Macaca mulatta: one gene and its partner. The protein of the gene in region 1 interacts with the protein of each later gene in a biochemical or structural test. Links are inferred from orthologs where the notes say so. Each region holds a gene or a part of one and is shown on either strand. Other genes may lie near its edges.

Region 1 (3,221 bases):
GGGATACCATGCTAAGGTCAGATCACTTTAGTCTAATATATATTTTAAAATTATATAACAATGCAATGCAGAGTTTATATTGTTGACATGCTTTTGCTTGCAATATAGAAGATGCACACAGAAAAAGAAGTAATTTAAAGAGGAAATTATCCTGCACTTTTAAAATTTCAACCCATTGGTATTTAAATTTTGCTTGTTAAATTGCATGTTTTAACATATCTTTCAACAGTTAATTCAGGACAGCAGAAGAGAAACTAAAAATGTGAGTCTCTTGCTTCAGAATGGAAATGTTGGTACCTCTGGTTCTCACTGAAACACTGTCTGTAACACCATTAAATAACCTGTTTGTGTAGTGGTATCTATCTCTTGTCTGTGTTATGTTCTTAATGTTCCTTTTATCTAACCGGTGGAAGATGGCGTTAAACGTTTTAATTAGTAACAATAATAGGCTTTCTCACTGTTTTCTGTGACCTTCAAGAATAGTTTTAAATTTTGATAGGAAATTTAACATATTTTGATAGGAAATTCAGAGATTTCCTAGATTTCAGAGATGGAATTGTATTTTTGGACATTTCCTTTCCTCTTTAAAGATCTTGAGATCTGTTCAGTACTAATAGATAATCCTCTAATCTAATGCTTCTTTCTCATGCTTCCAGTTAGTTTGCACTTGTTACCCTATATATAGCTTCACATATGCTTCAGAAGCTTAAGCAAATTAAAAACAAACAGGGGGACTGTGAGAGTTTGAGACTGTTTTCAATTCTTAATAACCATTTTAGAGGAAAATTAAATAATGTATAAATTATTCAGACTCATTGCTATTTCAAGATTTTCTGCCATTTAGCTCCTTTCCTTAATTATCCAGATTTAAAGTTCTGAACTTGAGATAAAGGTTTATAAATGTCTTATCTTCTCTCAGCTCCACTGTGCTCAGATATTAAGCAAACCATCTAAATCACTGCACAAGTTTTATTTCATTCATGACATCACACTGAATGTGCTCACTCTCCTTAAGATTTCATTTGGTATGTCATTCATGTATAAAAACCTAATTACTCATTTTTAAGTTAATGTGTAATATAAATATACTAATATTTATAGTTCACCTTAACTGACATATTAAAGACAGATTTAAGCAAGTATTTCGATTCAGAATGCTACCCCAAACTACCATTTTTCTTACTGCCATAATCCTCTATTAAATTTATATAATCCATTTTTAGATTGTAAGGTCTTAAAGAATAACTAAAAAAAAAAAACCCTCTTAAATGTTGATGAATTATGTTTTTCCATTATAAAGTCATTTTTGACTTTTAGAAGTCAAGATTAATAAATTTTCTAGAAAATAAGGTGTAAAAGCACTTGTGATTAATGTGATAGCACTAGATTTCTTTCTGCAAATCCTTAAGAGTACAGAGGTTGAGGGGATTTCTGTTGTGTTTATCACATTCCACATTTGAAAGAACTCATAGTGACTGTCAGCCTACGAAAAGCAAATGTAGTCTTGCTTTTTGTTAAAGAGTTCCTACTGATACCTTATGGCATTTTGTTGACTATAGGAATGTAAATTGACTTGAAATACATAAACTCTTAACTTCAGAGACATAAGTTCATGGAACTTTTAGAGTTTAACAGTGTTTATGATTACTTAAATTAAACTGAATGGCAGTTCTTTGTGCTTTTAACGAGTAGTTTTGATTTTAAGGGCAGCATATACTTTTTCTACAATTTAGTGTTTGAAGGGTGGGAGAAGAGGAATGATTTTGAAAAGTTGGCGAGCGAATGATAAAGAAAAAAGGAATTAAATAGAACATAAATTGGTTGATGCCTTGCAAACAATTTACAGCAGAACCTCTTATTTAGCTAGGTCAGGGTTTCAGTTATACATGCTACCTACTGTCTCCTTCTGACCTCATTATCTGTATGAATAAACTTTAGATGGGTACTGGATGTATATTGACTACTGTCAAATAAAATGAACTTCGTTTTAGTTAAGGTCAGATATGATGTGGTTGGTATAGGTTTTGGAACATGTTTTTTCAGGTTGCATCTGGAGGTGGTGGGGTTGGAGATGGTGTTCAAGAACCAACAACAGGCAATTGGAGAGGAATGCTGAAGACTTCAAAAGCTGAAGAGTTATTAGCAGAAGAAAAATCAAAACCCATTCCAATTATGCCAGCCAGTCCACAAAAAGGTCATGCTGTGAATCTGCTGGATGTGGTAAGCCATGACACTTTGGTTTAGGTCTAATAAGATGACCAAGTTAGTAGGAAATTGATTAGACAGAAAGAACTAAAGTCTCAAAAACTTACATAACTTTCAGATGTTAAATGCTGCCATTTCAAAGTGTCACAAAAGTAACATTTTTCCCCCCTCATCCCTATTTAGCCAGTTCCTGTTGCACGGAAACTATCCGCTCGGGAACAGCGAGATTGTGAGGTTATTGAACGACTCATTAAATCATATTTTCTTATTGTCAGAAAGAATATTCAAGACAGGTTAGTATTACTTAATATAAATCACAGGCTCTAATACTGCTGGATGATTCTATGATCTGTTTTGAAAAATACATGTATTTTTTAAATTTTAGGTTTTTATTCTAAATCATCGAGTGGATTCTCTGATAGTCCTTTGGTAACTTGTAGCAAGACTCAGTTTGTTAACACAGAATGACTAGGACCTCATGTATCAGCTAGAAAAAGCTATTAAAATGAATCTTTTGTTCTATATGGCTGCCACATTTTGAGTCATTTAAGAAAATGTTTTTTTCCTAAATTTTAATTCAGTAGTTTCATTAACTATTTTGGCTAGTAACACTGACTTGCCTTTTTAATTTAACTTGGTTTTCCAAAGCATCAAAACGAGTGTCTTTTACTAAGAAATATGTATACGGTTTCTCGTTCAGAATGTTTTTGCATGTGTCTACTCCCCTACTGCATCTTCTCCTTCATGTTGCCTGGTATGTCATTTCATGCAGTAATAGGGAGAATACACATTTAGTTGTATGAAGTGATCTATTAGAAAATATTCTGTATCCAGTTTTTGGTAATCTGTCAGCAGCTAAGATGAATTTTACTGCACAGAGTAATAAATATACTTCATATTGAAATAAATGATTTTGTCTGTAGAACCATTTATCTTTTTTGCTTGTAGACTTTTTAAACCTGTAGCTTGTGGTAGAAATAATAGTTCCTAGTGTTTTACACTGTGGGCCTGAAGAA
Region 2 (3,963 bases), on another chromosome or scaffold:
GCCCCACCTAACTTTCTTAATTCAGAGACTTCCCAGAGGATAACTGTACTCTATGCACTAGAATTTGTTGATAATCACTTAGAGAGGCTGTTTCTTCTACAGCTACACCCTGCTGTAGAATAAACCTGAAAATCTGAATTGCCAAAGTAGACAAACATAGGGTAAAATTATTTGTATCTTTTAAGAAAGAATATTTTATAGATTTTTTTTTTCCTTTGAGACGGAGTCTCGTTCTGTTGCCCAGGCTGGAGTGCAATGGCGTGATCTTGGCTCACTGCAACCTGTCTCCCGAGTTCAAGTGATTCTCCTGCCTCAGCCTCCTGAGTAGCTGGGATTACAGGTGCGCGCCCAGCTAATTTTCGTATTTTTAGTAGAGACGGTTTCACCATGTTGATCAGGCTGGTCTTGAACTCCTGACCTCGTGATCGGCCTGCCTTGGCCTCCCAAAGTGCTGGGATTACAGGTGTGAGTCACTGCGCCTGGCCATTTTTATAGATTTTCAATAGGCATCCTTTGCTAGCACAGTTGGCATTCTGTATTCATGGATTCAACGAACATGGATCAAAGATACTCAGGGAAAAAAAAAAAGATAGTTGCATATGTACTGAACATGAACAGATCTTTTTTTTTTTTGCCATTATTCCCTAAACAATACAGTATACTATTTACACAGCATTTACATTGTATTTGGTATTATAAGTAATCTACAGATGATTGAAAGTATGTAGGAGAAGGTGCACAGGTTACATGTAAATACCACACCATTTTATATAAGGGACTTGGATGGCTATTGGTATTTGTGGGGCAGGGTTCCTAGAACCAATCCCCCATGGCTACAGAGGGATGGCTGTACACTGACTGTGTGCTTATAAATGATTACTTGAACAAAAGAAAGGAGGTACAGAGAAATTAAGTGGTTAAGTATTGTGGTCTCTGACAAATGATGACCCACACAAAACCAATGGGAAATAGGGGTCCAATCCAAAAAGCACTATCTGGCTGGACGCGGTGTCTCACACCTGTAATCCCAACACTTTGGGAGGCCGAGGTGGGCAGATCACCTGAGGTCAGGAGTTCGAGACCAGCCTGACCAACAAGGTGAAACCCTGTTCCTACTAAAAATACAAAAATTAGCCGGGCATGGTAGTGGGCGCCTGTTGTTGAGGCAGGAGAATTGCTTGAACCGGGAGGGGGCGGCTGCAGTGAGCTGAGACAGCACCACTGTACTCCAGCCTGGAGGACAGAGCAAGACTCCGTCTCAAACAAAAAAAACAAAAAGCACTATGTGCTCACAATTTTGTAGGACAGTCCTCTGGACCTCTTCCATGCCACAAAAGATTCTCAATAGCTGCTAACTAAGCAACACGGTGGTGGTGTTGGGGGGAAGGGCATGGGCCTAGGTCTCACAAAACGGGAGCTTCTAGTCCCAATTCAGCCATGAACTTATTAGTTGCGTGACCTCAAGTCACTTTCCCAGATCAAGATAGTCCTGGGGGAAATGACAAGCTACGACTCCGTCTGGCAAAACAATGGTGGGCGGTAAGTAGCCAAAAGTTCACTGGGAGACGTCAAGCTAAGTATAGCCCTTGGTGCAGTAAATCTACGGGAGACAACTGAGAGGTGCCTGGACTACGGGGGCCCACATCGTACAGCAGCCCAGATGGCAGCGGGAAGGGGAGAGTACAGCGCCTCACCCTCGAGCAGCACGATGCCTTTACGGATGTCATCATTGTACTTGCTCCGCACCAGGCACCAGGCGTACTCAAACTGCGTGCTCTTGGACACCGAGCCTGCTGCCTTCTCAGACTGAAATTTCTTTTCAAATTTCTGCCACAGGGGAAGAAAGGAATCATTTAGAAATGAAGGGCGTCAACCATTCTCTATCTGGACATGGTGTCAGTCACACCCCATATCCCTGGCTCTGCCTCCTTTCCCTCGTGGGTCTCGGTATCTGGCACCCCAGCGTCTGCTATCTCCATGCACGGGACCCAGGCTTTCGGCTCCTCCTGGCCTGTGGGCCAGCTCTTGGGACAGATGCCCCTGGTCTCCCCTCCCCCCGGCGGTACCGAGCGGAGATGCCACCTGGTGGCAGCTCCAGGCACCGCTCCCGGAGCAGCTGACCCCGGCGGCCAAACAGTAAACACACTGTCAGAACTGCTCAACAACAGCCCACGCGGTCCTCATTTGAGCCTGCTGGCCCCATCCTGCCCCACCCTGCCGGGCCTGGACCTTTTACTGTCCAGGAATAGAAGTAGTGCCTACCTCCTAGAGCTACAAGGACTGAGATCTGGCATGCGATGCCTTAGCACCGCGCCGGACGCAGTAATAGGTGACGCCTTCTGATGGTCACTGTATTCCTCCACCGCTGGAGGAGCGCCCTGAGCTCACAGCTCCTGCATAATCCCAGAACCCGTCAGTCTAACCACTGTCGGGCAACAGGCCCGTACTCTGAGGTGTGGGGGCTCAGGACACTACAACTCCCAGGAGCCTCTGCGGCATAGCGGGCCCTCCGGGCAGGAGCCAGACACTGTGGAGGCTGCCGGGAGCCGTAGTTCGGCTTCCCTCCGCCAAGCCGATGCCGGGAGGAGGGTTCGGCCCATACCTGACTCTCCTCAGGACCCGCCCTCCGACCTTCCCTTTCCCTCTGTCCGGGCCAGGCCTCACCAGCAGGTCCTCCACAGACACCAGCTCGTTCAGCACGGCCTCCATGGCCACTGCCCCCGTGAGCCTCACACTACAATCTACTGTGCCACAGTCTCCATGGCCCAGTGGCAGGGGCGGAGAGCCACTTCCGGCGTCCGGCGGATGCGGGCACGACCTGGCGACGCCCCGCCCCTTCCTCTCAGCGCAGCAGGGCCAGCGGGACGCTAGTACGCAGGCTCCTCCGGCCCCTTCAGCCCGCAGACTGCACGTAGGGAGACTTTCCCCAGATGGGTCTTCCCGGATGCCCTAGCCGGTGCCTTCCTCCGCGGAGGCTTCCCGAGGGAAACTGGAGGCTATGTCTTAGCGGTTAGCCCCCAGGATGAAAAGAGCAAAAAGCGGAGGGTGGGTAGCCAGTCGGAGATCACTTTACATTAGGCTGCCAAGCTGACGCCCCTCAGAAATCTAGGACTTTGGAGGCCACGTGACTTTTCACCGCCTGCAACAAAATCGTAACTAGAACTGGGGACCGAGCCCGTGGCTCACGCCTGTAACCCCAACACCTTGGGAGGCCGTGGCGGGAAGATCGCTGGAGGCCAGGAGTTCAAGACCAGCCTGAGCAACACAGCGAGACCCTATCTTTACAAAATGTTTTAAAAAATTAACCACCGTGGTGGCGTGCACCTGTACTCCCAGCTACTGGGGCGGCTGAGGCAGGAGGATCGCTTGAGCCCAGGAGTTTGAGGCTGCACTCCACTGCACTCCAGCTTGGGCGACTGAGACCTTGTCTCAAAAAACCCACCAACAGCAGCAAACTAGTATCGGGGTTTCTTGGGCCTCTGCTGACTCTCACGATGCAAGAGCAGAGGCAACTGGATCTGTAAACCACACAGCCAGAGATTGGGGTAGTCATAGGAGATACTATCAACAGGAAGTTTTTCAAAAAGCAACGGCCCCATTCTTTGCGGAGAAGGTCCAATCTTTTCAATATTATTTACATAAACCATTTTCTGAGTGCACCCCAGGCGGGAAACCTGCCACATGGGGTCACGGGCAATGGGGAGCTTAGCAGAGACGAGCTATCAGAGCATGGGAAGGAGAAAGGTGTGGACACATCTGGCTTCAGTTTCTGTGCAGTGAGGGGACTGGGTAGGTAGTAACTTTCTTTTTTTTTTTTTTTTTTTTTGAGACGGAGTCTCACGCTGTTGCCCAGGCTGGAGTGCAGTGGCGCGATCTCTGCTCACTGCAAGCTCCGCCTCCTGGGTTCACGCCATTCTCCTGCCTCAGCCTCCTGAGTAGCTAGGACTACAGGCGCCCGCCACC

The links.
Region 2: the proteins of DNM1L (region 1) and FIS1 form a complex in vitro, tested with the Homo sapiens proteins (2 studies listed by BioGRID). The link is inferred for Macaca mulatta from reciprocal best matches to the Homo sapiens genes DNM1L and FIS1.

The regions. Positions count from the first base shown.
Region 1 is NC_133416.1:34,936,646-34,939,866, forward strand, and holds part of DNM1L (dynamin-1-like protein), read left to right. Parts: intron 1-229; coding exon 230-262; intron 263-2,043; coding exon 2,044-2,220; intron 2,221-2,388; coding exon 2,389-2,498; intron 2,499-3,221. UniProt on the Homo sapiens protein: Functions in mitochondrial and peroxisomal division.
Region 2 is NC_133408.1:48,509,831-48,513,793, forward strand, and holds the start of FIS1 (mitochondrial fission 1 protein), read right to left. Parts: upstream 2,804-3,963; 5' UTR 2,710-2,803; coding exon 2,665-2,709; intron 1,828-2,664; coding exon 1,695-1,827; coding exon of another isoform or gene 1,651-1,694; intron 1-1,650. UniProt on the Homo sapiens protein: Involved in the fragmentation of the mitochondrial network and its perinuclear clustering. Plays a minor role in the recruitment and association of the fission mediator dynamin-related protein 1 (DNM1L) to the mitochondrial surface and mitochondrial fission.